Drosophila melanogaster: one gene and its partners. The protein of the gene in region 3 interacts with the protein of the main gene of each other region in a biochemical or structural test. Each region holds a gene or a part of one and is shown on either strand. Other genes may lie near its edges.

The links.
Region 1: the proteins of DIP-iota (region 3) and dpr2 form a complex in vitro, tested with the Drosophila melanogaster proteins (one study listed by BioGRID).
Region 2: the proteins of DIP-iota (region 3) and dpr7 form a complex in vitro, tested with the Drosophila melanogaster proteins (one study listed by BioGRID).

The regions. Positions count from the first base shown.
Region 1 is NT_033779.5:10,962,061-10,965,819, reverse strand, and holds the start of dpr2 (defective proboscis extension response 2), read left to right. Parts: upstream 1-1,666; 5' UTR 1,667-2,594; intron 2,595-3,759. Other genes in the region: Tmem214 (transmembrane protein 214), read left to right, coding at 1-28, 101-215.
Region 2 is NC_004353.4:251,722-255,480, forward strand, and holds the start of dpr7 (defective proboscis extension response 7), read right to left. Parts: upstream 1,609-3,759; 5' UTR 1,480-1,608; exon of another isoform or gene 1,293-1,479; 5' UTR 1,233-1,292; coding exon 1,103-1,232; intron 991-1,102; exon of another isoform or gene 990-990; coding exon of another isoform or gene 938-989; intron 450-937; coding exon 334-449; intron 1-333.
Region 3 is NT_033779.5:6,619,742-6,623,500, forward strand, and holds the start of DIP-iota (Dpr-interacting protein iota), read right to left. Parts: upstream 1,960-3,759; 5' UTR 1,770-1,959; coding exon 1,685-1,769; intron 1-1,684. Other genes in the region: CG34345 (uncharacterized protein), read left to right, coding at 3,382-3,602, 3,663-3,759.

The DNA of each region.
Region 1 (3,759 bases), 4.3 Mb from region 3:
CAGCGCTCATCAAGGAAAAGGTGCTTGTGTAAGTATGCCTGCCTGCCTGGCCTTTGTTGTCTTTGAGAATGCATCCCTTATGATTGTGATCTTTGTTTAGTGGCCGTCTCTCGCCCGAGAACATCAATCAGGCGCTGAACCAGACGCGTAACGCCGCCCTGGAGTACTACAACCAGTTTCACAAAAAGGTCGACGCATACGCCAAGCTCAAATGATTTTAAGCGTCAGGAACGCTTACTTCTCGAACAGCAACATCATCAGCAGCTGCAGCAGATGCAAACAGAATACGCGTCATAGTAAATAGTGAAGGAAGCCCTAATTTTTCGCAAAAAGTTAAAAAACCGGAAAATGTTCTATAAGTCGAAACTCAAGAAGTCATTCACATTTATCAACAACTTCTCGTCAAGTTTAATTAAGAAAAAGCAATACGAGCAAATCTTTGTGGATGCCGATAGTACACTAACAATCTAGTAAATTCAACCTCGATACTGATAAATTAGTGAAAGACACGAGAAATTTTCTGTTGTAAAACATGTGTTTAAACATTTTTCTCCAAGTTGAGAAAACATTATTTTTAAATTCGTTTACAACGGCATGAGAGTTTTGTGAAAAGTTCTACCATTGAAATTTTGTAATTGTAATTATTAAAGTGCGTTTTTTGTGGCGATGCGCGAAGTGTTAACTCTATTGTGTTAACTGAACTTAACAATTCCAACTGCATTTTGAAGGCAAACAATAGATTCAAATATTTTTATACTTTTATTCATAGTTTTCTTGCATTTGTGTGTACATTTCTGTAGACTCCTCCCCAATACTTGCATAATAGCGCGATACTTTTGATTTGATTTTAAATCTCATTTGTATATTTAATGGAAAACACGATTTTGCATAAATAAAATAAAATTGAAAGATGTGAAGTAAAGGCGTATTTCTCAATGTTTTTCTGTGCTTGATTATGTTTTTGGGGGCATATTGATGAATCGTAAGATTCTGAACACACCTGTTGGCATTGGCAGCATGGCTTGCACTACACACTTGTTTAAATTGGAAAAGCGGCTTGAAAGCAGTTTTTATTTCCCAAAAGAGACTAGAATTTAGATCAGTAATATTTCCTGGGCAATTTTTCTAGAACAGTTCTCTCGAAACTAAGCAGTTCAAATGTTTTGCAAGCAGTCCAAGAACTAAAATTTCCCTAGGTTTTTGTTACCCATATAAGCAGTGAAGAGAAATTCCTAAGCAGTGTATCATAATTCAAAGCAGTGCAAACAACAAAAAATTGTTGCGTATTTGAAAAATAACACCTTTAAAGTTGAAGAAGTTTTAATTATATTTCTAAAATATTTATAAGCTTTGGTATCTTCATGAAATGGCATGATTGGATAGAATCTTTTCCTAATTGGTACAACAAAGTAGGGTTCTCATTATAGTTGCTTAAATTCTCCCCGCAAAATTTCCCTTTTAGACGTTCATCTTGGAGACAGTCGCCCCTTCAAATACAAGGATTTTCCCGAATTCGCCGCAAAGTCACCCGTTTTCGGAGTGCGGGAGTGACAATAACAACCAACTCGTCGTCCTGTTCGTGGCTGGCAGGACTCGGTTCACATCGGAACGATTACTTGCAGCGCGGAGGAAACAACAATACGGAAAAGCTCCGGCCTCGGATGCCGCAGTATCAAATGAATTTCAAGTCGCGGCGCACGTGTTTCGTCCTTTGGCGCGGATGTGACTACGAGTCCTTATCGCAGATTGTGGTCCTGGCCACGAAAGGATATCTCGTAGTTGCCGCATTCGATAGCGGTGTCGCGGTTTCCCAACTTTCCCAACTGCCGCATCTGTTTTTTCAACTTGTGCGCGAGACGACACTAAGATCGTTCGGCTTCGATTTCGCTCAGTGTATAATGCTCTTGAGGCAAAAGTGAAGTTTCGAATTGGAGGCCGCTTTATGCGGCCAGTGAAAGATATTGTCCCCTGAATTAATTGTCTGTTAAAAACTAACATTGGATGTTTAAATGGTTAAATTCATGGGAAATATTCGCCCTGCTGCTGCTGACACCAAAATTGAGTCGAATAACAGCTTTAAGTACATTAATATTAACCCACCCACACTGCTCTTTCGCATTCAATGTGGCTCGATTTTCCCTCCTCGAAAAGTGGAGCACAGATAAATCAGAGAAAAACATTTATTTCTCATCGGAAATGAACTCGGACGGGCGACGTGATTTAATGCCAATCGAAAATGCATTTGTTACTCAGGTTTCTTGCAAATTATACGCTTAGCGATAGGATTGAAACACAGAAAACAAAACACATTTTTTACAGACTTCAACTGAAACTCCAGACAGTTGCATAAACAACAACCAAGAGTTTCGTGCAAAAATAAATGTTAAATCAAAGTTTTTCCAAGTTGAGATGGAAGTTTTTCCAAGTTCTTCTTCGCCTTATCTGCTTTTGAAGTTCACTCGCATTTTTCCTCTGAAATCCAGGGCAGAATGAAAAATCGGAAATATGTACCTAATGAGCACGTGTGTTACGGATTGACTTTGAAGTGAGTCCTCATTTCTAATGAGTTCTTGTGGTGATATGAAGTAGGAAAGGTAATTAATTCACTAAACCACAAAAAAGTTAATGAGGTGATGCGGAAAGGTCAAAGTTGTTCCGTCAATAAATAAACTTTCCACAGACAGTCAATAATTGGTGTAGTTTTGGACTTTTAAAACTTTTGCAAACATGTACACATCCATTTGTTAGCACTGGCTTTGATTTAAAGCATTTTTTGCACATATTATACTATATAATAAAGTATAATTACATTTAATATTTAAGCAAAAAGGCAAAAGGCCGACCTTGTTTTAGTAAAAACTCGTTAAGTACGACAGTAAAAAAAATTTTAAGGAAAACTTCTTGGACAATTTGCCAGCTGCCTTTAAAAGGACTCGACAAAGGCCAAGGACCTCGCAGGACTCTTTGCATGTGGCATTAATTAAGTGCCGCTTGAGGGAATAGTATTAGATGAGCTTGTCTCTCATTAATCTTATAACCTTATAAAGAATGGCTTGAATAGGGAATAGCAGTATATACATATGTCCGGGGACAGCCCCCAAAAAAAGAAGACATTGAAATCGAACCGTTTTCCTCGCTCTTTTGGCCGCCTTTCGTGTTTTTCTAATTGAATTTTCTTTCGAGCTTTATGCCTTGACTTTTCTCCTTAAAGATCAAGTGGTCTCCAGGTGCTTTTGTGGCTTTTTGGCCGGGTGTCCAGGTGATTAATGTGCAACCAGGTTTGCTTAATTAACTTGCATTTATGCCTGAAGTACACAACGGAAGACAAAAGCCAGTTGCTAAATTTGATAAGTGGGCTTAGTTGAATTTGAGTGACTCTGCCATAGAAGTACAATATATATCATTAATTAACAGCAGACTGTACTTGTGGCACTTAAAATGGACTAGCCTAAAATTATAAATGCATCATTATCGCGATGAAAGTTTGGCATTAAATTATCCAAAAAGTAACAATACATATCCAAAACCACTAAATTCAATTAACCAACGATGCCATGAAAATAACAATTGCAGTGCGCATTTTAAGCTGATTCCATGTTAATTTTACCACCATTGTTTGATTGGCATCGCAACAAACAACAACTCATTACACAACTCCAGCAACGGTTGAAATCATTTAAGTGCTGTGGTAATGATAACTGAAGGGTGGGTCGAAGGGCATGGAATCGATATTTATTGAATACAATATCTCTTGGATCG
Region 2 (3,759 bases), on a different chromosome or scaffold from region 3:
AATTGAGAACAGGCCTCGAAACAAGCTTGATCGATGGAAATGGAGGCAAGTTCCCACGTAGATTTGGGAGGAGAGTTGAAAAGGGCTAGCGAAAAGACAGCGCAAGCTAGCAATCCTTGGGAGAAAACTGCCTTTAAAAAATAAAACGTTTTCCTGGTGTGTCCCCAAGTTTAGTTTGAAATTTAAGGTTACTTCCCCCTCAAACAATTTTCCGTCACTAATTCGTACAGTCGTACTTTTTACCATGTGACCGAATGTGCTCTTCAAACGAATAAAAATGTTTCGATATAATCCTATGTGTAAGAATAAAAGAAAGAACCCATAATGACTTACCGTGCGATTTCCTTTATTTTTAACCCGACATCTTAATATTGCGATTTCGTCGACTACGGCCGACACATTTCTTGGGCTAATATCATCAAAGAAAGGTCGCTCCAAATTGGTTAGGTCTAAAATGAATTTGTATTTTATGTTAAACGAAAACGGATGCTAAATTATTCAAGCCGAAGCGTATATACCCTTGCAGGTATAAACTAAAAATAATTTTATATGCCCCTTATCTAGAAGCTAAACATTTTAATTTAAAGTTTCGATCTTTTTATGGACGGAAGTGTCGGTCAAGACTAAGAGCTTGCGACAACTATATATACATGCGCGAAATCTTTTGCGATAGGTCGATCATAAAGAGTGGTTACACTTGTTGGTGAAAGAGCTTGGGGCGAGACATGAAACTGTTGTCATCTTTTAGAAACCGAAGCTCCTCTCGAAGGATGTTTTGCAAAGCAAGCTTTCAGGTGGTAAAAATACTATGGGCAAAATGCAATATTAAGATTATTTTTTAGATTTAAATTTAGCATAATTTAAATACAATGGCTTTTTAAACATAATACTTTTGCGTATAATTTCACAATTGAATATTGTTAAGTACAATACGTACATACATGTATAATTTTTGTCTTCGTATTCAGGAATGCATTATATGTTTTCATTCTACACGTTGCAGAAGAAAATGGGTCCAACCAAAATTAAAAAAAAAATCCCGCAAGGGTAAAAATATATTTATCATTCTAGTGGGAAACTTTTAATTTAAAATGTATCTTACCGTTCAGGCTTAAATATGAAGTTGCACTAATGTATTGACACCATATATTTAAATTCAAGACTAAAATAATGAATGGTTTGATTTTAATTGGCGAATTATTCAAGAATGTGGCATGTTTGCCACGCGACATGTTGCTTTAATTCATTTGTCTTTCACAGATATGCATTATTTAGAGTAGAATTCCATATACCTATGTAGTTATAATAAATGTTAAGTATATAATTAAGTTAGATATTAAGCACACGCGAGAGCACGTATTGGCGCAAGATTTTTATTGAGAACAACTTTGTATCGGCATCGATTTTTTATCCTTTTAATGGACTTTCAAATAATATTCTGTTTTTCGGTATTTAGATCTGTGTTTTTAATATACATACAATTATACTTGCTGGCTTCAATTTTTATATACTTTTTTTAGTCTTTACACTTATTTCGTTGGCATCGACAATTATTATTTCAACGGTAAGCTCTAACAACCCCTAAGCAGCACGTTTTAGTGTTTCTGTGAGGACGACTTGTATACAGATTTTTAATATTCTGCAACCCTGAAAATATTCGCGCATGCCCATTGTCACATATGTACATATGTGTTATCTTACAATTTAGGATAGATTCTATATATTTATAGATTGCGTAGGTTATAATTATTTGTATGTATATATTTTTTAATTTTAACATTTTGAAGTCATATACTAAGTACTCTAGTTTCCTTTTATTGCTAAGACTCAGTAACACGGCTTAATAATATAAGCAATGGGCGGAATACAAATGGTACACATCAATTTGAGACTGAGATCAGATAAACGTGACAATAGCACCTTTACCCCTTAAATTTCGAACAAATTTGTTACTACTGACAGTTACATTCTCAAAAACGGTAATGGTAATGTAAGCATACATTGTGAATTTATCCTAAAAAAATGCATAAGTTATTATACCAGTTACTCGTAAATTTAAATGATATAGAAAAGGAAACGTTACCCGTTACTCGTAGAGTAAAAGGGTATACTAAAATCGTTACAAAGTATGTAACAGGCAGAAGGAAGCGTTTCCGGCTACATAAATTATATGATATTATTATATTATATACATTTTTATTCTTGATCAGGATCAAAAACCGAGTCGATCTAGCCTTATCCGTATGAACGCCGAAATCTCAGGAACCATAAAACCAAGAAGGTAGAGATTTAACATACAGCCCATATTTTAAAAAAATTGTTGGATGTTGTTCCAATATTTTATTATTCTTGTACATTTCTATCGATTTGCCAAAAAACTTTTAGCCCCGCCCTAAAGCCCCAAACCGGTCACGCCCACTCTACTATTATTATTAAATAGTATTAACTATTATTAATTTTTTTGTCATTTTATTCCCCAATATCTATCGATATCTCAGAAAAATGATAAAATTCCGCGTTTGCATTTACACTAGCTGAGTAACAGGTATCTGATAGTCGGGGAACTCGACTATAGCATTCTCTCTTGTTTTAGTTTTAAGTTGACTTGTTTGAAAATTAGTGTAAGTTAGTTTAGTTCACATAAAGTTCAGTTTCGCTCCCTTAAAAACTGTCACCGTCCTTGTTAACATCTAGGTGTTTCCTTTTGAAAATCAATTCTTAAATTCAAAATGTAGCTTCACACAGATAGAACTATAACTTTTCAACTAGCAGCTTGCACAGAGCATGACACATACATAAGGCCAATTATTCGCTTCGGACTAAACATCTGCAAAAGTGTATAATTTGTTTTCCTTATAGAAGGCAACACCATTTCAGGTCAAGGTATTTACATGAACCTAATGTAATGTCTCATCAGCTCTACCGCAATAGTAGTATTATTCTTAAATAACAGTACATTAATTGCAAACGAAAATACAAATTCCAATTGAATTTAGGTTTGTCCGGTATAAGCACGACAATTGGGATAACAAGGTATTATGAAATTGTATACATATGTTTTTGTACAAATCTTGTTTGTAAATATAAACTTAAAAAGTAAGAAAAGTAAAGAGTTTGTTTTCAGAACGTGTATATGTATGCACATTAGTCGATCACAAGCGGGATGCTCTTGTACCATAAATACATTCAAAAATAATATCTCGTGAACTTCGAAATATTTTTATGTTTTTTTTTCTGAAAATAATGTTCTCTTATTATGTACACGCTATCTCGCCAGGCATTTTGTGCTATTTTTCGAGGTTTAACAGTGTCTAAATAGAAAATAAATAGTATCAATAATATGACATATAAAAATTAAATAACAAATAAATAATCGTAAACCTCAAGGTGTCATAGTTACTATTTGTTGATAAAATTATACAGAAGTACTGGTTATTCCAGAATTTCAATATAAATATTGTGTGCTTTGAAATATAAATAAAGTCACTCACATGTGTAGATACCAATTCTATTGTACATATACGAAATCTCTCCTGAGAAAATCAAATATATGTACGCATTTATAAATAAATTGGTGTTTTTACCTAGTATATTACTTTGCAACTCTTCGTATAATTGTTAACCTGCCTTTTGAAAATATCGTTGTGAAAATATGCTATGTGCTGATGCGGTGACAATTACTATGAATCCAAATTAGTGTAAAACTTAAACATATGTACTAAAAACACCACTATTATGATAAAATCGCAATAAAAAAAG
Region 3 (3,759 bases):
GTCCGAAGGCTCCGCCTTCAGTTGCTCTGAGTGTGGGGAACGAGGCGCCATTGTTTGACTGCCTTCAGTTGATATGGTTTCTGTTTTTGTTGGTATTGCAATTTGGTTATTGCATGTTTGCATATTGAAACATTCCGAAGAAAGGGACGAGCGAGACTTTTTAAGCCATAAAACACAAACGTACTTTGCACTGGAAATAAAAGTATAATAAGCTAAAGAACTAATATAAAAAAAACAAAAATTTCAATAATATATTTGCATCAACAGATTTTGATTAGATTTTTTATGCATAAAGGAGCAATGAACATAAAACGCTAACAAAACTACAAGGTAAGTAATTATGTATAATATCTTACTTTTGATTTCTACTTTTGAAATTATTCTGAGTGTACTCATACATGTGTGTTCATATAGTTAAACTTTTCTTCTTTTATTTATGTCTGCAAGGTAGCGTAATTTAGCATTTAACTTTTTCGCCACCGCACCGCCTTTGTTGTTGCCACATTTTATAAGGGGAAATTGACTATGAGTTGTTAAATATATTTTCCTGTTTTCTTGCACGACTTGTATCGCTGGAATCGCTTGAATCGCTCGGCCAGGACTTAAGCCGCATTTTCCCCGCGAAGTCGCTGCAAATCCGGCCGTGTCCTTTCCCCACGCCACTTGAACTTGAAACGGAAAGTGAATGTCCTGTCTCCTGTTAGACACTCCAGCTGTCTGCCGGCGAAAGGAATCACAATCACAATCAGCACGCAATGTCTGCCAAAAAGTTAAGTAAAAACTGCGAAATAACCCACTGCAGTGGCAGTTCCACACCCGCAACCGCCAACCGAAAAACGCGGCACTTCAGCGGCAGAAACCGCCGGCCAGGAATAGAAAAAAAAATGAAACGAAAATATCGCAGAGTGCAATAGGAAGTGGGAAAACGTCGCCTTTCCGCGACTGTCTGTCTGCCTGCCCGCTGTGCGGTGGGTGGTGGGTGGTGGGAGTTGGTTGGTTGGCACGGAACATCGTGCGGTGCGGTGCATCATCACTCCTTTGAGCCACTTCTCACTTTCTTATCGCACGCTGCGGCTAGCCTGCCAATATTTATGTTTACTTTGCATCTGGCACATTGATTTAAATGCGAATTTTGTCGAATTTTGATATATTTATCGCATTTGGCTCGCCAAAGTCAAGGAAAATTTGTTTTGTTTTTTTTATTCGGCGCACATTTTCCCCAGCGGAAGTTACCCCTCGTTACTCTTTCGCAGCTCTCCACCGGAAACCCCTCTGCCCGCTCCCTTTCCCTATCACCGCCATCCTGTCTGTCCCGTCTGGGGAATATGTTGGCCACAGTTTATTCACTTATGGACTCGTTGGACTTCCGATTACCAGCTACCTTCCATTTTATACGCTACCACTCCGGCTTTAGATAGTTTGCAGTCAATTAGCTGTACACTTTTGGGTTCATCATTTCGTGTTGGCGGGTTACAAAAGTTCAGCTTGTAAACAGGATACTTTTTAATTGTACAACATTCAAAAAACGTCATATTAATCGAGAAAAACTATCCTTAAAATGTTTAATTTAATATTTAATGGGTTATGCATTTCATTCAAAGTAAATCTTATATTTCTGACTAATTTCATTATTAGCAATCAGATTTATTTATCCTTTAGTTAATCACATCCTCGATCCACTTACAATTGTTTAGCTCCGAAAAGCTGGCCTGGCTGAAACACACGCTCTGCAGGAGCAGCAGCCAAAAGCTGGGCAATCGCCTTCCCATAGCCGAAAACTCAACCGCAATCAAGGTGCGAAACTTTTGAATATTTGCTGATTTCCCACTTTAATTTTTAACTCTGCCACTTTCACTGCCCAAATGGCCGAAGTTCAACTTCCGCCGCAACAGCGCAAATGTATTTTTTCCGCTTCTGCGGATGAAGTTTTTTCCGCCGATTGCCGTGGCCAAACGTCCGCACACCCGTACAACTGGTCGCGAACTGATAATCAAGTGTCAAAACTCATATTCAAAATTCAAATGCGGCACTGGCGTTGCGCATGTGTCCTGCGGCCTTGCGAAGGTAGTGGGTGGTGGTTGGGTGGTTCTAGTGTGTCTAGTGGGTATGGTTGTAGCCCAGTAGTAGTCAAGGTGCCCGGCAGCCGAAAGACGGTGCTGTGCAATAGTAAATGTTTCATTCATAAACCGCCCGACGTAATATTTTCATATGCACGTGACGATATGAAGTATACGACATGTTGCCGGGGGAAAGTGACACATTATTGGTGATTTTTTTGTGGGCGGCGGAGAATAAAGGCCAACTCCAATACCATTCTAATTAACCCCGAAATGCCGCGCATCTTCTGCCCAACTTTCACCCGTATCCCCCATATCCCTCCGGATTCCAGCTGCTGCTCCTCTGCTTTTCTGCGATGCTTGCACTTCCAACTGGCTTGGTTTGCATGTGTGAGCTTCTCGGTAAGTTGGCATTAAGTTCGCACCGCTATTTGCGCACAATTAGCGCTTTTCAATAGCGATAACAATAATCATAATAAGCACGTGGAATTTGCTTGATTGTTGTTTTCCCTAGGGGCACATCTTTTGCTGGCCCATGCAAGTTTCTCTTCGTTTCTTCATTCTGGCCTCTGAGTCAGAGCCTCTGTCTTAATTAAATAATATTTTGCTAAAATTTGAGTGTGTTTTTATGCAATCTTGAAGTCTAAGTGATTGATAAATCCTACCTTTGTTTCATAATTTGATTAGTCAGCAAAATAAACTTACGTTTTAGAGTATCTGAATGGCAATACGTACATTAGATTGCCTTGACTAGTTATGTATATTTTTAAAATAGACTTAAATTCAAGAATTGTTAGTTTAGTGGATTTAACATACTTTTTCATTATTTAAAAATTATTTATTTAAAAAACTGCCGATAATTTCAAATTGTTTCTGCTTGATGTATAATAAAGCCTTTCAAATAAACTTTCCTTACTTTTACTTACACATGAAAAGTATGTGTCTTGGCTAACTGTGTAGAAACTCGAAATCAAATTTCGAAAAAGCAAACAGAAATGGTTTACAACTCCGATGTTACCTAACAATAAAATTATGGCGGTGTATAACTTTGCTAAAAGTTATAGTGTTGTGTAGCGCTGTTAAAAGAAGTAAGCGAATTTACAACTATTTTTTGAAACAAGAATCACTCATGAAATATGTTCTATGAGGCTTGTTAGGGAAATACTAAATTATATTAAGCTAAATATACAAACAGTGTATATGTGTAACTTAAGTGTATCAATCACCGCAGCATTTAAAATAGGCCTGACGAATAAGCGATATAAATCAATTTAAAATGTAGTATCTTCGTTAGGAAATGAAAAAATATAGTTTTCGCAGCAGAATGTTGCTAAGATCATTTCATTATATTCTGCTGAACTGGATTTTATTATTCCTATTCACAGTTTGCAAAGCAAAGAAAGCCGAAAATGATGTAGTACAGGAAGTAATATACTCAAATTCCATTCGAGCCCTGTCTGAACTTCGCGAGATTGAGAATTCCTATATGGAGCATTTAAACAACTATGTTAGCTTTCTGCAACAAAAAATCAAAACTCTCAGAATGTATGATATATATTTTAATTCCTCTCTTAAAACTAGAATTACACTTTAACTTTCACATAGTTTTATTAATTCTTTAACTCCGAATTATTTGGATCACAAGGTGGATCGATATAAATATGTGTCCAATCCCCTAAATTCCTTTGGACTTTTAAGGCGG